2 linked regions of the Drosophila melanogaster genome follow. The protein of the gene in region 1 interacts with the protein of each later gene in a pairwise test. Each region holds a gene or a part of one and is shown on either strand. Other genes may lie near its edges.

The links.
Region 2: the proteins of Rab9 (region 1) and GM130 interact in a two-hybrid assay, tested with the Drosophila melanogaster proteins (one study listed by BioGRID).

What each region holds. Positions count from the first base shown.
Region 1 is NT_033779.5:19,430,727-19,442,520, forward strand, and holds Rab9 (Rab9), read left to right. Parts: upstream 1-1,847; 5' UTR 1,848-2,145; coding exon 2,146-2,337; intron 2,338-3,940; coding exon 3,941-4,135; intron 4,136-4,196; coding exon 4,197-4,580; 3' UTR 4,581-5,115; downstream 5,116-11,794. Other genes in the region: RtcB RNA ligase, read left to right, coding at 45-1,337, 1,398-1,625; CG10237 (uncharacterized protein), read right to left, coding at 5,420-5,907, 6,084-6,237, 6,306-6,400, 6,940-7,119, 9,938-9,995.
Region 2 is NT_033778.4:22,121,042-22,132,359, forward strand, and holds GM130 (golgi matrix protein 130 kD), read right to left. Parts: upstream 6,462-11,318; 5' UTR 6,322-6,461; coding exon 6,265-6,321; intron 6,164-6,264; coding exon 5,168-6,163; intron 5,113-5,167; coding exon 4,600-5,112; intron 4,541-4,599; coding exon 3,719-4,540; 3' UTR 3,526-3,718; downstream 1-3,525. Other genes in the region: mei-S332 (meiotic from via salaria 332), read left to right, coding at 1,957-2,433, 2,495-3,223; NtR, read left to right, coding at 6,814-7,135, 7,241-7,372, 7,432-7,584, 7,653-7,840, 7,913-8,444, 8,510-8,650, 8,723-8,889, 8,950-9,072; CG34205 (uncharacterized protein), read right to left, coding at 9,288-9,539, 9,603-9,926, 10,092-10,169.

The sequences.
Region 1 (11,794 bases):
TTAAGAAGCGATTGGCTGGCAAAGAGAACGACCGGAGAGTCAGGATGGTGGTGCGTCCGTACAACGATGAGCTCCGGTACCTGGAGAAAGTGAGCGACCACTGCTGGCGCATCAAGAAGGGCTTCCAGCCAAATATGAATGTGGAGGGGTGTTTCTATGTGAACAGCCGGCTGGAGCGCCTGATGCTGGAGGAGCTGAAGAACTCCTGTCGCCCGGGCGCAGTGGGTGGCTTCCTGCCTGGCGTCAAGCAGATAGCCAATGTGGCCGCGTTGCCGGGCATCGTGGGCAGGTCCATTGGACTGCCCGACATTCATTCCGGCTACGGATTTGCCATCGGGAACATGGCTGCTTTCGACATGAACGATCCGCTGTCCGTTGTAAGTCCCGGCGGCGTGGGTTTCGACATCAACTGTGGCGTGCGTCTGCTGCGCACGAATCTGTACGAGAAGGATGTGCAGCCGGTGAAGGAGCAACTGGCGCAGTCCCTGTTCGATCACATACCCGTGGGTGTGGGCTCCAAGGGCATCATACCCATGAATGCCCGCGATCTGGAGGAGGCCCTCGAAATGGGCATGGACTGGTCGCTGCGCGAGGGATACGTGTGGGCGGAGGACAAGGAGCATTGCGAGGAGTACGGCCGCATGCTGAACGCCGATCCCGCCAAGGTGAGCATGCGGGCCAAGAAGCGAGGGCTGCCCCAGCTGGGCACTCTGGGTGCGGGCAATCACTACGCCGAGATCCAGGTGGTGGACGAAATCTACGACAAGTGGAGCGCCTCCAAGATGGGCATCGAGGAGAAGGGCCAGGTGGTGGTGATGATTCACTCGGGCAGTCGTGGCTTCGGCCACCAGGTCGCTACCGACGCCCTGGTCCAGATGGAGAAGGCCATGAAGCGGGACAAGATCGAGACCAATGACCGGCAGCTGGCCTGCGCCAGGATCAATTCGGTGGAGGGACAGGACTACTTGAAGGCCATGGCGGCGGCTGCGAACTTTGCCTGGGTGAATCGCAGCTCCATGACATTCCTCACCCGTCAAGCGTTTGCCAAGATGTTTAACACCACACCCGATGATCTCGACATGCACGTTATCTATGACGTTTCGCACAATATTGCCAAGGTGGAGAACCACATGGTGGACGGCAAGGAGCGGAAGCTGTTGGTTCACCGGAAGGGCTCCACGCGCGCCTTCCCGCCACACCATCCCCTGATCCCAGTGGACTATCAGCTTACCGGGCAGCCAGTCCTCGTCGGTGGAACCATGGGCACTTGCAGTTACGTGCTAACTGGAACGGAGCAGGGCATGCAGGAGACGTTCGGTAGCACTTGCCACGGAGCGGTGAGTAACCAAATCCCGTTTCTTCCTGTTCGCCAGACTAAAACCTCCTTGAATCTTTAGGGTCGTGCACTATCTCGAGCCAAATCCCGGCGCAATCTGGACTACAAGGATGTGCTGGACAAGCTGGACCAGTTGGGCATCGCCATACGCGTGGCCTCGCCCAAACTGGTCATGGAGGAGGCACCCGAATCTTACAAGGACGTGACCGATGTGGTCGACACCTGTCACGCAGCTGGCATCAGCAAAAAGTGCATCAAGATGCGCCCAATTGCAGTTATCAAGGGCTAAGTCTAATTTATTATTGTGATTAAGTCAATAAACATTTGGTCCGATGGCTGTCAATTTAGTTAATAACGAATTAAAATTTTTATAGAATTTGTTAAGAGGTTTTCGTTTTTTTATTCAAAGTTAACAGTTATGTAGTTAAGCTGTTAAGTGAGCTGTGGTCACCCCACACTGGCGCTCTGTTAACGGCGAGCTTAGCATTATGTTAGGCCAAAGGCCCGGTCTGTTAGTTGTCAGCTGACTGCCAATCCAATTGGACCTGCTGCACGGCGCGAATTTTGATTGAGCTGCCCATTTCGATTTATTTAAACGAAAAAAAACGAATTATATTCGTTGTTAACAACACGCCGTGTGCAATTCTGTATGTGCGCCTGCTAATCGCTCGGGAATCGTGAGTGCAATTAAGCCGAAAACTCACTGCAGCCGGCAGTCAACCAAGCTGCGCAGTAGGAAAAGGCCAAAGAAATCTAGCCACTGCTGTTGCCGCCGGACTTAACTGCAAGAACAAACAAACGCAGGCACTATGACGAACATGCGGCCGCCGCAGAAGTCCAAGCTGCTGAAGGTCGTCATACTGGGCGACGGAGGCGTTGGCAAGTCCGCCCTGCTCACCCGATTCGTCGCCAATCGCTACGAGGAGAACAACTTCCACACCATCGGCGTGGAGTTCATGAACAAGGACATAGTCGTCGACGGGGAGCGCTACACTCTGCAGGTGAAGACTACGACTATGACTATTATGCAATCCAACTACTGACTAGGAGTAATAGTAATACCGATATTGCGGCAAGGCCGTAGAACTTTTGCAATTCTTATGGTGAATGCAACAGTTGGCCAAGCGTATTTCCTTCAAGTGTATTTCACTTAAACACTAACCCCCTCCCCCCCCCCCCAAACGGATCTATCCCACCGTCGCATGGTTGTGCCCGATCCACCGGCATTTTGTTGATGCAAACACTTAGAAACTACACAACGATTAAGCCTTGTTTTCCATTCCCTTACATTCGCGGCACAGTGGAACTTTAGTAAGTTAAACAGGGTAAAAACAGAAGTGCTAACAAATTAAACCATTTAAACAAGGAAACATTGACTATACATTCCTTGAACCATTTGAAACACTCGTATACCAGAGAAAAGTATTATCTTACTGACACGTTTTTGAGTCTTGCATTTGAAATTAAGAAAAAAATATGTGCAATCAATTAATTACGTAGTTTTTTCCACTGTAGCTGTACCTACATTATGGGGGTATCTGTTCCATCTGCCCCATCCCCACTCACACACACACATATATGAACATTAGATTTCTACTCAATTAGCGTTGAGAACGGAATGGCATTGCAGAAACAAAAAACTGAAATAATAACAATAATGACAGTTTCGCCATTCGGCAAACAAGTGAGAGACTTTGTTTCATCCGCCGACGCGGTTTCCCCCGCTCCATCTCATCCGCATCGCAGTTGTTTTCCATTTTCCATTCGGACTGTTGTCTTCAAAAGTATCGAACTAAATGATTTTCACAGTTCGCCAAGCTCGGAAAACTCATGAATATGCAGCGCGTCTCAGTGAGTAAGCAAAATGCAGCCAAGGTGTCGCAAATCGGAATAATAATTCTAATTGGACCAGCAGATACATTATAAAGTAGGAAGTAGCGAATGTGGACTGATTGATATACATATGACTAATCCGACGGGAATCTCGCATAGTTTGCTGGTTCACAGTTCGCTGGGCACAGGAAGAACTTGGCCAAAAGCGGATTTCCCAGTGCTGCAAAAAATCGTGGAATCACTGGGGTGTTTTTTGCACTACCTATATACATATGTACATATGTATGGAGTCACTTAGTTACCATGGGCAGTACTCACACCCTAAAAGGGTTATTCCACCCATGTGTTTGGAGGCCAAAGGTGTTTATATTAGATAAAGAAGTTTAAAGTATCCATTGTTAGAGCTAAAAGTATAACCTCATGTTCGAAAGTATAAAATAAATAAAAGTATAAAATAAATATTTAAAGTATGTATGCTACTCGAAAATTCAGATTCAACGAACTATTTCCTGAGCTAATTGCTTATCACCACCTCGTTATCAGTTCAAAACTAAATATTTAATTAACACACAAGAAATGACAGTAAATGTGTTGATATAAGTGAGTCAGTCAGGCATGCAAACACTCCATAGGTTTTCAAACGGCGAAAGTGTTTGTTTCTCAGTGAGTTTGCTTCTAATCGAATGCAAATTTCAATTGAGCGCCATTTGAATCGCCAATTCAATCAAACTTAATTGATGCATTGCCTTAATTGGAATTTCCCCAAACTAGATATGGGACACCGCTGGCCAGGAGCGATTCCGGGCTCTACGCACCCCGTTCTACAGAGGATCGGACATCTGTCTGCTCTGCTACGCACTCGACGACCGGGACAGCTTGAAGGGATTGGGTGTGTGGCGCAATGAGTTCCTCAACTACGCAGATGTGGACCAGGACAAGTTTCCATTCATCGTGGTGGGAAATAAGGTGAGCCATGCTTGCAGAACGTTCATCTTGAGTTTAAAAGGTTAATTGCTTCCAATTGTAGAACGACATTCCGGCGCAGAAGCGACAGGTGAGCTCCGACGCAGTGCAGCAGTGGTGCGCGGAGCAGAAGGTGGCCTGCCACATCGAGACGTCATCGAAGGCGGCCACCAATGTGACGGATGCGTTCGTCCTTGGCCTTCGCCAGTGGCGGCACATGGAGTGCGTGGCCGAGGCGGAACTGCGCCAGCACGGCGACACCATTGACCTCACCCGCCCCATTCGCCTGGTGCAGCGGCGCATCTGTTGCACAGGCGGAGGAGGCGGTGGCGGCGGCGTAGGGCAGGACGCGGATGGCGATGATGCCGCCATGCACAGTCCGGGCAAGAAAGTGTTCGGCCAGAAGCGCAACGCCAGCAAGGCGCCAGCCACCAATTATCGGCTATGAGCAGACAGACAGGAGCTGTCAGGAAACTTACGCTTAATTTAACCACTCACCCCGCCGGGTTGACCTTCAGATTCAATGCATTCCAGTCCGCGGAGGGGCAGGAGCTTCAGACCGAAAGGCAACCCATCCACCCAATGTTGATGGCTGTAGAGAGTGGATTGCCTCGTTGTGGTTGATATTCTAAGGGAACTATGCTTCACAGCGAGCTAACTATGAGCTAGCTTCTATGTCAAGAATAGGATCTCCATTTTTACTTGCTATGCTTTAATATTATCTTACTAAGTTATTATTTTGTTATGTTACCGTATCGAATATATGCGGTATGAAATACTCTTATAACAATCGTATATAAGCTTTACCATAACCAAGTGTCTTGCTTGAGGAAAGCAAGCTTTAGGTGTCTAATGTACTACGCATAAGGCAATCAGAATGTAATCACTACATTTTTTCCTTATATATTGCATAATTTCGGAGTGCCTTAAGTGTGTTTATCTGATGTGAAAGCTGGGAACAAACGAATAAATATGAATACCGCACGTGTTTGTTTACAAAGTATGTTTATATTTTAACAATTGGTTTAATGTACAATAGTAAAATGATATAAATACGCTTACCCCGGATTAAAATAATATGCATGTAGGTATAACACTTCTTCTGGCTGCGATCGACACTCCGATCCTGGTTAAGACTAAGGCAAACTCTAGGCGCTACTCACTAACAGGACAAGCGTATGGTAGATCGAGTGCTTAACTATAACGCTCCACGTGGGCTTAATGTGAAGACGTGTGGAAACGAGTGGAGTTGATTATCACGAGCAGCACCAGGCCGGTGGCCACAGATCACTTCTTCTTGTAGCCGTACGAGTTGATGGTGTCGAACTCGGTGTCGCACTTGAGCAGCAGCTGGTACCACTGGTCGCTGTCGATGCGGCTGGCCTCCCGGAATCCTCCGTAGGCGGCTGGCAGGCACTTGGGCGACATGTATTTGTGCAGGGACTCGCGATCGGTGCCATGGAAGATGATCCTGCTGCGCAGCTTCTCCTTGAGGAAGGGCTTGAACAGGGCAAAGACCACCTGGAAAATCTTCGGCTGGTTCACGATGTGAATGGCCTTGATCCGGAGCGGCACCGAGTCCTGAAGCCAGTCCACAATGCGCTTGGCGAACGGAGGCGTAAACTGCCACGTTTGCTGGAGACTGAGGCCATCCATGTCGAAGATCACAACGGCTCCGCAGATCTGTGTTTCTGGCTCCAGCATGGCCGCCTCCAGGAAGAGCACAGCTCCCTTGAACACCTCATCGAGGGTGACCTGCTTGTGCTTCCAGCGCTCTGTAATCGGGGATTACGAAAGATTAATACAGGATCTGCTCAATGCTTGGAGCAACTATGAAACTTCAAATGATAGGAAAACCTGCATCTTAACTAAAATAAACTTTACTCTGAAGATCGAGATCTTTGCACTCAAAAGCTAATATATTGAAGTATCCTTCTTTCAGTGTACTTACTGCCCAGTTCGAGGACCAAAATGCGACGACCCAGTTGATCTCGGTTGGGGAAGACGGTAAGGATGTTGTGCTTGAAGATGTTGGCCTCGTTCGATGGCTTCAGGTCGGTGTACACATCCGCGTGCTTCACCTTGAAGGCGTAGTACCGCTTAATCTGTTCCATATTCAGAATATATACAATTAGTAACACAGCTGGAAACTGGGTTGCCACACTAGACTCACCAGATCACGGGCACTTTCCGGGTAATACTTGCAGGGCCGCAGGTATCTGATCAGCCACTCCTCGTTTCCCTTGGGGTACAGCAAGTCCGTCTCCGCTGGAAGCATATCGCAAATATTAATCGACCTCACCTTCAATAGTCTTAATTCTAAAAAGTCACTAAACCACTGGCATTAAGTTTATCCAGCAATTAAAAGGCAATCGTAATTTGTAACAATAGTTACGAATCTTATGCAACGAAATCCTCTCGAGGGCGCGCTGCTTTTAGCCCCAACTTGTTATTAGTGACACGAAGTCGCCAACTAATGATATAGAACTATTCGTTCGAACTTGGTGTACAAATGGATTTTCAATTCCCAACAATCGGGTAAATTATTAGATGCAGGCTAAGTACGAAGTTTATGGCTTAAGTTTTATTAACTCAAGTTTTTATCAGCTTTTGGAGATCCCTCGGATATAAATTATGAAAATAGCTTAGCAAAATGCATATTGTATGATCTCAGTTCAGATATATGTATATACTTTAAACAGATGTAATGCAGTTTCAATGACTTTCATCATGTGAGTTTTAACTCATGTAGTTAATGTATAATTATATTGATTCAAAGTAAAACTCCATTTCTGATCACGACTCACCTTCTAGAAGACGGGCCAGCTCCTTGGAGGCCTCCTTCTGGCGCTCGGGTGTTTCGCGCAGCTCCTTGATGGCCACCTCCTTGCCCTGGGCAGTCGGCTCGCCCAACTCGAACTGGAGCGTGTAGTCGCCCACCTGGAGCGTGGGCAGTTGGTCGATGTCCGACAGCATGGTGGGTACTCCTGGAAGGGAAGCAGTTGGGGTTCGGTTAGCGACAGCTTCTGTACTTTGAGCTGGGGCTGCGGGTTTCACACTGAGAGCACTGGGAACTTTGGCCAACTAAATAACTTGAGCTAACTGACATCGATTGCCAATTAGTTGTCATACTTCACAATTACTACTTACTCATTTTGCAATTGTTGCTGCTCTGGCTGAACTGAAATTATTCTGCGATTATATTAAGCTATGTGCTTTTTCTAAGCGGTTCGCCGCTGTATATTTTCAGTTTGCCAAATGTAAAATTGTGCCCTCTATTTATAAGAAGAAAAAAGCGTAGAGATTTCAATTTATTAGCGAGACACAAGTGACTCGGAACCGGCTCAACTGCATCGAGTTTCTAGACTTTCCCGCCAGTCAATGCGATGATCGTCTAAACATATCCATATATGTATTCATTTATTTATTAATCACCTGGCCGACCTTCACCTTGACATTCGCAAATTGCTTAAAACGGAAGAAGAGGCCAGAGATTCGCGAAGATAATGCAATTCTTCAGAGATCAGAAAATAACGTTAGGAGCCTTGAACTAAATTCTGGAGACACTTGACGCGTTCTACTTGAGCGTAATTTCCAGTTAGGCAGGTTTCGAATTGCGAGATGAGGAGCCAGGGTCTGTGAGCTTATATAGTGGGGCAGTTGGATATCAGAAATTAGCACACTAGATTTCCCATCAAATCGGAAATTAGCGCTGAAGATTTCCCATCAAATCGAAAATTAGCGTTAGTGCTGGCTCGAAACAAAAGACTAGGAGATTAGCATCCGAAGCGCTGACATTGAAAATTGCTACCAATTTCGGCTAGATGGGCCAGGTGATTTGCTTAGGGTATCGTCTGTTTTTGCATTCATGAATGATACACAAGAGTCTACTGAATCGCTGATGTTGTGTCTGGGAAAATACGAGATCTTAAATAGTACACACGGATCACAACACAACACAAGACAACACAACACGACCGAAACTAGTTTGGCCCAAACTTAAAGGCTATAATGGTATAATGGCTAACAGTATTCCGCAAAGACGGCCCAAAAAACCAGCTGCGAGTGACGCGTGCAACGGAGCTGAAAGCCCAGATGAAACTGTTGCGGCCAAAAGCGCGAGTCGAGATTTTATGCCAGGCCAAGAATTAAAACTGGAATTGTGAGCGGAGCGGCATGAGAGTGGGTGTCGCCGATCGAGACGCCAGTGCTGCCAAGTGGGTTTGTTTCCCGACAGTAACTACTTCTGCTATAAGGGGGTCTTTTAACTATAGTTGTTTAATGCTTTAATGCACCAAAATGAAGTAGTTTCAACATAATAAGCTTCTACTGAAACATATATTTTCTTGCTTGCTTGCACTAGTGATGGGGAATAACTATATAATGCTATTATATGAAACAAGTTGTGCACCCATTAAGTGATCATCACCAGCTGAATCTGAACTTGAGCATGACATTCACGTGCCTCGCAAGAGCGTGGAGTTGCTAGATGGAGAGACACATGGAGTTTGCCCAGGGAGAGCGAGCAAGCTTTACTGGGTCTGGGGTGCATCGTCATTGGGAAATGATGCCACCGCCACCTCAAGCCGGTTTCAGTTTCGCTTTCAACTTGGACTTGCCTAATTTATTCGGGTTTTCTTCGGGTAATCGCCCACAGTACTATTGGGCTCTTGAAAATCCCTTGGCATAGGCATTTCCCATCGCGACCCTGAAGCCCCGTGCCCGTGCATAGCCATCCGGTTTCAATGCTGCCCAGCTACACGCCAATTAGTGCTTACACCTGTTCGGCGTACCTACACCTGGGGTCACCCCACTAGCAATTTGTTGGAGACCACAAACATTGGACACTTGAAAGCATCTTCAACTATTTATAGATCATAGTTATAGATCATAAGATCGCATCTAATGACACCGCATCACCATGTCATATCATATGTCCCTATTTTCTCAGCCCCATGTGTTAAGCCAGGCATATTTGGTATAATTAACACGTCCCAAAGCCGAGCACCCTCTGCGTTGTGGACAGCAAATGGTTCCCGCCCGGTTTTGGACAAATCGGTTCAATCGCACGATCGCACGTGCGAAGACTTCGGCCATTCATGGATACGGATTTACGTTGCGATGATACTCTCGATTTCATTACGGCCAGTTTCGGTCATTTGGTCAATTTTTATTGGCCATCTCGAAGCGGATGCTGACGAAAACTGGGTGGTACAAAGCTGCGAGTATATGGAAAAAACTTGAAGCGAGTAATATGAGTAATTCTGGGGTTACGACCCATTGCAATGTCAACCTTCGCCCTTCGGTTTTTTCTTTGCAAAAAGCGTGTTAAAAACCCTGCATGAGAAACCTGCTTTTGAAGAACGTGACAATGGCGGTTCAAAAGCAAAAGTGCTTTGACCTTACTCAAGAGATGGAAAAAGTACAAGTCGGTAGATATTACTGACATCGAACAAATGGATTGTTACATGAATACTCGCTTGATGTCCAAACAATTTAGATGGCATATCAAAAGGCATTGCAAAAAGTGTTGTTTTTTTTAAATTATTTATATTTTGAATACCTTTTAAATACTCTTTCTCGAACTAATCGTGACTTTCAATTACCAGCACAACTGTATATAAGTTTTTAACAAACTGGTGTATAGTTTTTCGAGCAACTGTAGCCACGCGCCTTATATAAATACATACGTACGTATATAGAAAATAATTCTATTTGAGGGAGATAATTCTAAGAAAATGCATATAGTACTTGCAATAAATATACGATAAAAAATGGGGTTCGGCAGATTTCGCTATTGCTCACCAAGTGGGAATTCAGAGGGCAGGCACCTCATCGCAGATGCAGTGGTCAGCATGGTCATGGCGATGCAGATCGAATGAATACACACACAAGTTACTTTACAACTAACTAAACCGGTATGCACATGCAAATGCTAGCGTATGTAAATAAATTAATATTTCTTTATTCAGGCTGATCGAGTCGGGAGCATCGGCGGTGGCTAAATGGGTCAATGTCGTCGGCGAGTTACTGAACTTTGTCTGAAATTCTCGAGCGACGAGTGCGAAAGGGGGGAATGCATGCAACAGTAATGAGCAAAAGGCAATGCAAAAAACACGGACAGACAGTGATGCCTCGTAAATAAGGGCTGAGCGTAGCTACATAGTGATAGTGATGGTGATCTGGCTAAGATATTTTTATGGTCCCTAGCGCTACACACTCAGAAATGCACTCTTAAAAAGAAAAGCACTCTATATGTATATATATATACAAATGTATATATGAGATCCAATTACTCACCTTGTTTGAATTGAAAATCGGCTAATCCACAAATAGTTGGCTGGTACAGTGGAAATCCTTCGGAACTCCCGTTCGACTCCGATATATGTACCTAGTGAGCTTGGGTCGCGTTTGAAGACTGAAAATACAAAGCTGCTTGTCAAATCGTTTTATAGCCGCCCCTTTTATGCACTGCGTGCATTGCACATATGTATTGTACGACAAAGTTATAGTTATCAAGATATATACATAGGTCGGTCGGAATAGTCGGGCACTCGTAAGGCCAGCGCGACTTAATAGGTCATTATAAGCGACCGATTCGAGTTAAGAGCTCTAAAGATCACGTCGCGAATCGCCGCATGGGATCTTCTTTTTTTTTTTTGGCTTGTTTTGCATAAGTTCACCTGAAAATGGTTCACTGAGCTCAGCATTAATTTTATGTTATTTCCATTGTTTTTAGTACGTTAAAGTGCCAAGACAAGTGCGGTATTTCTCACGGTGCAGCGCACTCAATCGATTTTCCACAGCAATTAACATTATTAAATATAATGTTGCAGAAGGTACACTGAAAGTAAGTGAGTACTACAAAATTCAAGAACTTTCTTCACTTTGTGTGCACTTTTAGAAATGTTCTTGACTTAAAACAATATAGTTATTATTATTATTATTGAAAAAATCCGTACTTTCTATCAGGAAATCCACTTTGCTATATTTTGTAACTATATACACTTTGTAACTTGTACTGTTTAGCACTTTCGAGAAATTCTCATCTGCCACTTGCGAAAAGTCCACTTCCTATATTTGTTCTAGAATGTAAACGAAGGAATATTTTCATTTCTCGTCGCAAAATACGAAATTTTTAAGTTAGCTATATAGCATCGGGGCACTTTCGCAATCGCGGCACAGCTTTATATATGTATATATATTTATATTAAGTGCGTGTTCTGAGCGTTTCGCACAGTGTATCGTGGTTAATCTTCTGATGGTTACGCGACTTGGATGCAATTAGACTTGAACTTTTGAACGCTCCGTACACGAGTAGTTTAAAGACTAATCGCCTTCGCCACTGTGACTGAGTGAAAAACGAGTTTGTAATCCCTCTTACGGATCGTAAGTGTGTAAGTTATTGCTTTGGCTATCACTCCTCCCGTTCGACACAACAGTAACTTTCTGCTTTTCTGCCGGACACTAGCTAATGTACCTTCTTTCGACTGGCGTGTCCGCGTTCCACGATCAAGTGATCAACTGACTGACGGGGGCTGTGGGTAATTCGAGCTCATTTGCTTTTAGTTTCAAGCACGAGCAATTAATTAAGTATTTCACTGCTCGCCGTTTCCAAATGTATTTCCATGCCATTTCTTGCGCTTGCCTGAGCCCATTCTG
Region 2 (11,318 bases), on another chromosome or scaffold:
ATCGAAGTTCAACCGCCACAATTCGCACTCACATCGCTGAAGGGAGCCAAGCGAATGAATCAACCCCTAGTCAGCGAATTTAGTTTTCGTCGGCCGTCGAGCAATGCACTCTTTGTAGGTCAGTTATGGGGTGGCATGGGTGGCCACATGCTCCATGGGTCTTCGCTGGTGTTGCAACACTTGGTGTCGTCATGCGTCGCGTGCCCGGGCGTTTTGCTTAATGTGATTAAGACAAAGCGACAACAAACCAAAACAAAGTGCATTCGCTGACGGAACAGGAGAAAATCAAAGCGACCCGAGTTTATTGCACCCCTTTTAGCCGGTTAGACGGTGGAAAAGGCTTTTCGTGTTCTCCGACACAGGAAAAAATAAATTTCATGCAAGCTCAAATATTAAATCAAATCGGGCAAGACATGGACTGTCGGCTATACTTAGAATATATGCAAATAATGGTGATTAATCTGGAATATGGACATATGAATAAATATTATAAAAAGTCTAAATACAGCTGCCTACTAACGCTGGTATGTGTTTGTTTATTGTGTACCTCGAGGCTATAAGATATAGCCCCATATCTTGGAAAATGCAATTTTACATACACACAACCATTAGTCGCAAATATCGTGGCGAAATTGTCGGAGGGCGCGATAAGATAATTGCCTACATGGAACTGGTACCGAAGAGGTTCCTGAACTTGCCATAAATTACCAAATTTCTGGGCACCGTGCGAAATAGAATTGATAAGGTCGCTCGATAAGTCCGTACCACTTCGGATTCTGAGTGCTGAGTGATGCACTCAATCGACTAAATGGGTACAAAGCCAAACGAGTTGGATTTACAAACAGACTCACCTTGAAGCGGGTTTCGGTTTTCGACTGCGGTCGTAGCTTCTGTGAATGAAATTCTCGGTTCTCTGGGCTGCTGGCTGTCTTCGGTGTTTCAGCAGGTGATTGTCGTGATTCTCTGGCGGAGATGAAACAGCATAGCAAGCGGTTCCCTAATGTATTTTTCCGAAACTATGGTGTATAATCCGTATCCGTGTTCCTAAGTTAAGTTAATCCGCGCGCTAGATCCGTCTATCGTTTTTCGAGTGCACAGGTGTTGCATGTGATGTGTATCGTGTCCTGTGAGTGCGGGGGGAAAGTCCCTCCCACTGTTGGTAAGAATTGTAGAAATGTGTAAAAGCCTGGCTAAATGCCTAAAAGACGTACAACGACGATACAAATCCGACTGATTTTCATTTTTACACAAACACACGCACACTGCGACAGCACACTCTCACTCACGTACACGCACGCACACACTGCCAGGTGGGCTGACTTCTGATTCAGTGCGATTTTCGCGTTCTGCAAGGTGTATCTACAACCTCCCGAAACGCGTATTCACTTCGATTTCCGGGTTCTAGCGCTGCAGCATTGTTTATCTACCACGGATATCCAGATTTTCTTCGCAATCGGTCGAGAAAACAATAAATTTATTGTGCAGCTTAGAGGTGTAAGAGAAACATAGACGTATCGATGTCTCTCGATGGTTTGTGCCTATCGAAATCGGTGTCCCGCAATATACACAGCTTCCACTAAGCGAAATTTTAGCATTTTGGCATACGTGTAGAATTTAAATGGAAAATTACCCTTGGTAACGCATGTACGATCAAATTCGCACCAACTCAACGGTTCCTAATTCTTGTCGTGCAAATGAGACAAACAAATTTATAATTATTAAAATAAAATATATTCACATCGGATTGTATTGTTTCTTATATATATGGCCCAAAATTAAAGAATTTCATTTTAATTAAGAGCATGGTCGGCGTTGCCATACTTTCAAAAAGTTTTCCTTAAGCTGGGGTATATTCCAATAGCACAACAACGGTCACTCTATTTCAAAATTCAAAACAAGCTATTGGCGTCGTCTGTCTGGATTTTGTGTATGGAATAAGTAGATCAGAAGAAGCAAATGGGATCCAAAGTGGAGCAGCAGTACAAGCTGCTGAATGCGGAGCTAATGGACCAAGTGCAGAAGCAGCGCTTGGAGATCGGCGAGTACAGGAAGCGGGTGATATCTTTGGAGCGAGAGATCATGGACATTCGGGAGGAGCACGTCCTGCAAAACCATCGCCAGCGCATGGAGAACATCAGTATCGTACGCAGCCTGATGCTGAGCCTGAACGTGGACTCCGATTCCCTGGCAGTGCGTCAGGAGCCCGCTCCCGCAGCTCAGATAAACAGACCAAGCGGCCCGCGTCGCAGCTCCAGGGAAATCTGCAAGGACATGCGACGGACGTGTGCGTTGGCCCGCACCACCAGACCAATCTCGCCAAGAAGATCTTCCTCAGTGACCAGTACTGTATCGTCCACTAGTCGCCGCTCCAGCGCAGAAGTGCAGTCCGAGGTGGTGACCACTAGGATACCAGAGGATAGAAGAGCCAACAAGGTAACTTATACTTAAATTTGATTATGCTTTTCTTAACGATTCATTATCGGCTTGAGTACAGCCTACACCACCGCCACGAAGACCAGCGGAATTAGTGTTTGATGAGGACGACTCGGACGATGATTTCGACGAAGCAGTAAGCCCCGTGGAGGAGACACAGACTGAGCAAAATGAAGAGAACAATCGTCTGTTTAGCATTATAGAGGAAAATGGCAGTGAAGGGGAGTCCACAGACTCGTCATCATCATGCGAGGCCATCTATTGCGACACAACGTTTGAAAGTAGTCCGCCAAACGCCCAAGTCACCGTCACGCCCAGTGGACGGGCTCTGCGGGAAGTGGACACCAATATCCCTGTAGCAGTGTCCCTCAGTCGGGGAAAAGAGACTGGGAAGGGATCATGGTTGGCTATTTCCGTAGCTGTGGAAGATTCTCCACAGGAGCCAAGCATACAGTGCCCACGACTGGCAGTCACCAGGCCTAGTCAATCGTCTGGAATATTTCCTGATGTCAACGGATTAACGCCGCGAAGAAGCCTGTTCAATGGGATAGGCAAAATGGCCGGAAGCACCAGCACTCCGAAATCCTTTCTCGTCGAGGAAATGCCATCTATAAGAACTAGAAGCCGAACTGCGGCTAATAAGAAATCAGAAAATACGGATATGTCTAGTTCTTTCTGCAACAACAGCGCAAGGCCGAGTAGAAGCTGCAGGCCCACCAGTTTGGTGGAGCCAAGTCTGAAGAACAAGTTGCGCAATGGCTCGAAAGGCAAGGCCAAGGCCAAAAAGTAGATAGACGAATTTTTTAATAGGCTTTAATGTTGTTTCTGTAATTTCATTGGTTTTCAATACCACTTTTTACCATTTTTAATATGAATAATATTTTTAAATCGTCAGGCCCTGATAAGTTTAATTTATAGACTAAAAGCTGACATCGGATTACTTTTTGCCTGCAATAGAGGGCATATTCAGTTCATCCAGCGCTATCGGAAGGAAGACACTCCATCATCATCATCACCCAAAGATGCCAATAGGAATTTAAAAGTACGTCTAATTTTTACATGTTCATTTGTGAATAAAACAACGTTTCAATTAATTATTTGTTAATACGCTTTTAGGGGAACTCATTTTATAGATTCCTCTTAGATGCAAACTACGTTTATTCGCACAAAGTTGTTGGAAACATTTACAAAAGACTCTGAAGAACAAAGTACAATTACAATTACAATTAAATACAGTAGCAAAAGGGTAATGATTATACGTAGGTAGGCGATAATTGCACTTCTTTTAGACTACCTCGAACTTGCCCATACAACAGTTGAGATGGTCTCCTGCATGGTTGTGGCTTGGCTGCTCCGTGTTCTCCTTGATCTCGCTGATAATGTCCTGTATCTTGTTGATGATCTGTTGCGAGTTTTCACCTTCGCCAGGAGTGTGTTCGCTACCTGCGGCCGCTTCTGGTTGCTTTGCCTGGGCGGCATCTGCGGGTAGCTCCACGCCCAAACTGACCACCAGCTTGTTTAGTGCCTCAATCTTCTCGCGCAGCTGCTCTCGCTCCGCTTGCAAGAGACGCATTTGGGCGGCCTTCTCGTACTCACGCTGCTTTAGCATGCGCCTCTGCGTTTGATAGAGGGCAATGTACTCGCCAATCGTTTCGGTTTCGCTCTGCAGCTGGAGCACCAGATGCTCCAGGCTGTGCTTCTCCTCCGTCAAGTCGGCGACCTGGCTGATCAGTGTGGTGAAACGCGATTGCAAGCGTTCCACGGCCTCGGCGGTGGGCAGCGTTTCAGCTGCTTGTCTGTGGGCGTGGTTCTGGCCGTGATCATGTGGATGATCATGCTGATGATCGTGTGGATGGCTATGTGAATGATCATGTGTGTGATCGTGCGGATGATCATGTGGATGACCATGATCACCAGCATTATGATGGTTATGTTCATGGGAATGATCGTGGTCATTATCATGACAATGACCGTCGGAATGCTGATGAGAGTGATCGTGCGAATGATTATGCAAAAGACCAACTTCCTTCGCTTCCTCTGCTTCGTTTTCCGGTGCATCTGCTCCATTCTCTTTTTCGGTTTCCTCACCGGCGTGATAAGCTTTTGCCTGAAAGAAATGATAATGGGATATAAAGTCAGTTAAATTTTAATCCCAGTCCAACCCACCTCATAATGCCTGAGACGGTCCAGCTGCTGTTGCAACATTAACTGCTGACGTTGTAGTTCCACGTTCTCGTGCGATAGTCTAATCATTTCCTCATCCTTGAACTTAAAGCGCTCCTCATTTGCTTGAAGCTTTTGCTCCATGCTGTTGTAGTTCTGGCGGATTTCTCGGTTGGCAAACTCTTCTGAATCCAAGCGGATGACCAGCTCGGCTTTGTCGTTTGTCAACTGAACAAATCGCTGCTGCAGTTCGTCCAACTGGTTTTTCATCTCTACATTCTGGGTTAGGGCACGCGATGCGGCCACTTTGTCTGACTCCATGGTGGCCAACAGCTTGGACTGATCGGGCTGCTCAGCTTGCAAGCGTTCGAGTTGCTTTTCCAACTCGTCTAAAGCCGAGTTCTTTAACTGCAGCTGATCGTCCTGCGACTTGATCTTCAGCTGGAATTCGTGGCGCTCAAACTCGAAGTTTTCGATCTGCTCTTTCAAGACAGCCAGTTCATCTTTTAAGGCTTTCTGAAATTGAACTAGGAGATTAAACAGGTTTTCCATATTTTTTTGGCTTACTTACCTGCTCGCTGGTTTCTTCCTTGGATGGCTGCACTTGACTGGCCTCTTTAAATTGGGCCTGCAGGCTGATGTTCTTTTGTATATCCCGCTCCAGGGCGCCCACGTGCTCCACAAGCTGGCGTTCTCGCTCCCTCAGTGAGTTCAGTACCTCTGAGAGTTCTGTGTTTCGTTCGTTGAGCTTGGCGATCTCGCCACTCTGATGCTGCACATAGTTTTGATACTGACCAGCTGCCTGCTCCTTGTCCTGCGTTAGTTGACCCACCATCGCTTGGAGGTCGCGTATCTGTTGCTCGTACATGTATTGTGTTTGCACCAGCGACTCCACTCGGTTGTCTGTGGTGACGCTAGACTCGTCTGAGAGCTGCCGCAGCTTCAGCTGCGCCATCTCGAGTTCGTTCGATTTTTGGGAAAGCTGTTGCTGCAGTTCCTCTTGATGCTGGTTGCTCTGCTTTAGCTGGGCCTCTAGTTCGTTGAGATGCGACTGTTGGTCCTTGATTTGTGCCTGCGATTGTAGCAGTTGTGCCTGGAGTTGCGCGTACTGCTGTCGCTGCTGCTCACCGGTCGACTGTTGATCCTGGCAGTGCTGTTGTAGCTGCTCCAGACGCAATTGATTCTGATCCTTGAGGATGCGAAGCTCCTCCAGCTCTAGCTCACGCTCCCGGCAAGCCAGGCGAACCTTGGTCAGCTCCGCATTGAGCTGGGCCTTTTCAGCGATGATCACCTGGATGGCCTGCAAGCTAGAGGCATCTGCCAGTCCACCATTGTGTTCCGACTCGTTTTGGGCAAAATAAGAAGCGGCTGTGGGCAGGGCAGACTGCTCCGGCGGCTGCGTCCCACCTGCTCCTCCACCGTTCACATTTATCTCGCTGTCTGACCGTTCCGACAGATTGCTGGATATGCTCACAGTGGACGAGTGCGATTGCGTGGTGGCAGCCACCGGCTCCTCTGCTCCCGGCTGCCCATTGTTGTTGCTGGCGCGCTGCTGGTACTCCTTCAGCTGTGTCCACAGAAGCGTGTTAAACAAAATCAATATTAGTCGGCCAATATGTGTCCACGTCACAAGAGCAAAACAATTGTGTGTGGCACTGGTTGTCGCACCTTTTTCCTTGCCGCGGCCAACTTCTGCGCCTTGGCATCCTGCGTGTCATCGGGCATGTCCTTCGGGGTCAGCAGCGGTACCTTTGCCACACCTGGAGTAAGCTCGGTTCGGAAGGCGAGCCAACAAATGTAAATTAAGCTAGGCAAAAGTGGAAATTTCTGAATGTTGATAACAGGTCTGAAGTTCAGTATGACCGTACGCGTTTAGAGCCAAAATGCCGCGCGAACGGGTACACTAGGCGGCAGGGAAAGCACAGTTATATATTGGCGCGCATTTTTAGCTTTTTTTTCATTTTTAAAATCGAACACGTATATATGCGTATCCGTTTTCAATAAACAGAGATTATGTACAATTAAGAAATTTCACTCTACTTGCATAAACGTTCATGCGAGGAGGTTTTGAGAAATACTCTTCAAATTAAAAAAAAAAAACAGTATTATTTATCGAAACAACCATTAGTTCATCGTTTCTTATCACTTCACTTAAGTCGGCTTCCTAATTCAGTCGTAGTTAAGCCGCTGTGAGGAGTAGAAGTCCAGGTCGATACGATGTACAACCTTATCAAGGGCTCCTTGGCAACATACTGCTGCCTGTGCCTGCTACTGATATTGATTGACCCAGCGGAATCGGGACAACTGTCAACGAGATTCAACGTGAGCTTCGCCCAGCTGGATTCCTGCGAAACCTACTCCGTTCCGAATACGGGCTATGGCTACCGGAGGTTCTACATGCTGCGCGAGCTGAGCAACAACAACAGGAAGGCCGGAGAGCGGCTGCACTTGAAATTCTACGTCCTGACCGCCATGGATGCGCACATCCTGCTCTCGGTGACGAATCACCCGCGCCCAAATGATCGCGTTTACGAGATCGGTGGGTGAAATCAATAATATTCAGTTTTAATTCCAGCATTTCAATGAGCTCTTTCTAGTGGAACCCTACCTAAATATTCAATTGATATCTTTATTCCGCTTGCAGTGATAGGAGCCGGCGGAAATACGTTTTCCGCAATCCGGAATGCTATGGGAATGAGGCGGGTGGCCACGAATCAAGAGCCGAACTTGGTATCGCTGTACGACCCGACGCCAATTGAGATTGTCCAAAACCAGAGTGAGTTCCCCCATCTTATCGGGTATTCCCTGCCCCTCCAACGCACAGTATATTTCCAGATGGCGAGCTGTTTGTTTACATACCCGGCTTCAAGAAGGAGCCCCTGCTGCAGTTCATCGATGAAGCACCGCTGGTCATCAACTATCTGAGTTTCAGCTCCTTTGGTTCCAATACGGCGCGGTGGTTTTACGACTGTGGCTTCGATGGTTATGGTAAGGATGATATATAGTAAGCTATAAGTCTATATCTGTAAGTATGTTCTAAAACTGACCCATTTCAGGGTCGGAAATTGCACCGATAGTGAAGGAGGAAACGAAGACGGAAAAACTGCTAAGCCATCTGAATATCCAGGCGGAAAATGCAAGCATGCCGGCTAATCTCAGCTCCATATCGTTCCACTTCCAAACGCGCTCCCTCGCCTACGAGCAAACCAGTTCCTTGCTTCAGACCCGCATGCACATGATGATGGTAATGAAAGATAAGCTCGAAATGCAAATATTTAGTGTGAAACAGTAAAGATACATTCGCCTATCCATGCAGCACTGGAGGGATAGTCGTCTTGTCTGGAAACCCGAGGACTTCGGCTCGCTGGAATCTTTCGAACATCCTGACCTTCGTATATGGAAGCCGCATATGAACGTCCTCAACGGCGCCCTGCAATCCATGGGTCAGGTCCTCCAATCCTATGAGCTGATGGTCTACGCCAACGGAAGCATCACCCTGTACGCTCAAAACCTCCAGCTGGCCAGTTGGTGTGTGGACAGTGCCCGAAACTGGCCAAGCGAGCGAGTGACTTGCGACATCGAGCTGGGTCTCAATGGCCAGGAGGGGCAGGAGAATGTGGCGCTAATCTACGATGATCAGCGCAAGCCGATTGCGCCCAATGAGCACGTGAACACGCCATCCGGCTGGTCGTTCACGCAAATGTCCGTGGTGCTGGTGGAGAACGATTCGCAAAGGCGATACAACCCCAAGGGAATGATGCAGAAAATGACCGGCGATGTGGCAATTGAGTTCACGCTGCAAAGGAATCGGAGCTTCTACATGACCGTCTTCTATTTGCCGTTGATTGGTAATATGAAAATGTGTTTGATTTCTTGTTATGGAATAACATATAACTACAATATATTCTTTCAGCCTGCCAGATGTTCCTGATTTTGTCCTTTGTACTGCGTTCTACTCGTAGGAGTTCCCTCATTCTCATCGCCTTGCTGATTGCCGCCTGGGGTTTAATGTACATGACGCGCTACGCCTCTCCGCATTATGTGCCGCCCATGAGTAAGTTTTAAATCAATTAACTAAAACTCACTGTGTATAATTTTCAAATTCAAATTTTCACTTTTCCTACAGTGACTGCATATAAAGTCATCATGATGACCACCACCTATTGCTACATTCTGCACATCTGCATTATATGGCTGGATCTATATCCACCCAGATCGAAGGCTCCTGGCTGGCTGGTTAGGGTGATTAACTCCAATGTTCTGCGATGCATTCTGGGATTGAGATTTTCGGATGTGAGTAGTTAAGCCCCTATTGAACACATATACGTATTGCAATTCACTATATTCCTACAGTCTACCGACTATTGCGACATTCAGGAGAATCCCTGGCACCATATGGCCAAGATCCTGAACAACCTGAGTTCAATCTTGGTCATTATAACCTTTGCCATCGTAGATATTACGAGTGGGTTTTGAAAAACAGAATTTTTCTTTATTGTGCATTTGAGAGAATATTAATGGTTCTTAAATAAATAAGAAGTAAACAGAGAAGATTGTGAAGATTTTGCGACTACAAGTTGAAAAAGTGGGAGAGCGTGCTGGGCTGTTGCGACTCCTCGCAGTTAATTGCTGCCATTGTTCCAACTCCGATCCGGGATCGATTTGGATTTGGAGTGTTTTGGTATCGGAGCTTAGTGGTAACCGTATCCACCCAGGGACAGGGCAGGTGCAGCGTATGACTTAACCAGGGCAGGAGCTGCGTAGCTGATGGCTGGAGCCGCATATGACTTGACCACCGTGGGAGCAGCGTAGCTGATGGCTGGAGCGGCATGGGCGTAACTGATGGCTGGAGCGGCATAGGACTTGATCACCGGAGCTGGAGCAGCATAGGCGATGGCAGGCGCAGCGTACGACTTAACAATGGGCGTGGCATGGGAAACAACCTGTGCATGCAAAGTAGATTGTAAGATTAAATGGGAAAATATCAGAGTATATCCAGATCTTACCGAGCTGAAGTGCGAGTAGCTGGTGGCTGGAGCTGCCACCTTGACCGCCACAGGAGCAGCATAGGACTTGACCACCGTGGGAGCGGCGTAGCTGATGGCAGGAGCGGCATGGGCGTAGCTGATGGCTGGAGCGGCATAGGACTTGATCACCGGAGCTGGAGCCGCATAGGTGATGGCTGGGGCAGCGTAGGACTTGATGACTGGAGCTGCAGCTGCATATGTTATGGCAGGAGCGGCATGGGCGTAGCTGTAGTCCGGAGCCGAGTGTCCATAATCAAGGAGTCCAGGAGCAGCAGTGGCCACAGCCAGCAGAGAGGTAAGGATCTGGCGAGGTAAATGGAAAACCAAACTTTGATGTTAATCTTTTTGATCTAGTGAATATAAGATCGAGGTAATCCTTGTATGAAGATATCCTTTGCAGTCAGTATTATTGGCTTAAAGTGATAATACTGATCCTAGGCCGCATCCTTTCCAACCCTTTCCACTCACCAGAAGTTTCATGCTAGCGCTGGATAACGAATCACTTGGCTTGGAGGGAGAATTGCAACTGTAAGTGGACGTGTGCATTGCGTTACTTTTATACCCCTCGACGGCAGACCACGCACTCGCACTCTCGAGCGGACTGCGAACTGCGGACCGGAGGACAGGTGGTCGAGCGGACAGATCTTGACTAGATTTCGATCTGAGCCTCGGACGGACAAACAGTCAGCAGACAGCAGTCAACAAAGCGGGCCAAGCAGCACCAATTTGTGAAGTATCTCGGCTGCAGTGAAACTGCAATTCTCGTAGACGCAGCTCGGATTGGAGAGCCCCCAAACGCGGATGACGCAACCTGAACTGGAGCTGGGAGTTGGGAGCTCCGAACCGAAGGCAGACCACTTGCCGGCTAAGGAGTCGCCGCAGGAAAGGCGGTCTTTACACTGGGGGTGCCATTGTGGCTCGCATTTGGAAAGCGCACGCTAATTGAAATCGCTGATTAGCTGGCCAATTTGGGCAACGCGCCAGGTGACACGCCCCTCGAAAGCACGCAGCCTTGCCACTAACAACTTAATTAGCCAACGTAGAATGCCGTCTAATTGTTTTCGTTGCTATGTTTGAGTATTCTCGAAACAATTCTCGGCGTGGCGCTGGGAAATTCTCTCCAAATTGCATAATGAACGCTTGCCAAATCGGCAAACGCCAAAACCAAACACCAAGCAGCAATCCCCTCTGGCCGAAATATCTAGGCGAGCTTCATATTTATCTTTATCGTGCCTCGAATGCCGCTGCGTGCCACATTTGACCATATTGGATGGGTGATTTCAGCCGCAGCCACGCCGTCTCGTCTCGAGGACACTCGTGCGTGGCGAGGGGGTTTGGATCGAGTGGAGGCCCCAGTTCGCCAGCTCCAGCTCCAGCTTCAACTCGCCATCGATCCATCGACTTTGCCGGCTGAAATTGCCGGTTCAGCATCTGGCAGTTCGTGGGATTTTTTATGGCCGACTTGATTAACCCCACGGGATGTGCGGGGGTACGGAGGTGTGACATTGGGTCATCACAAAATTAATAATGCTACAAATTGTTGAGAATGCTCGTCGTGATCCTTATCACGGATTAATAGTGTCTCAAGTAATCATTATATCACTTATTCGCTTTAAGTATAGATATGGTGTATATATTCATTTCTTAAATGATTTATATTTTTGTGGACTTTACATAACTTTTTGAGACAATAAG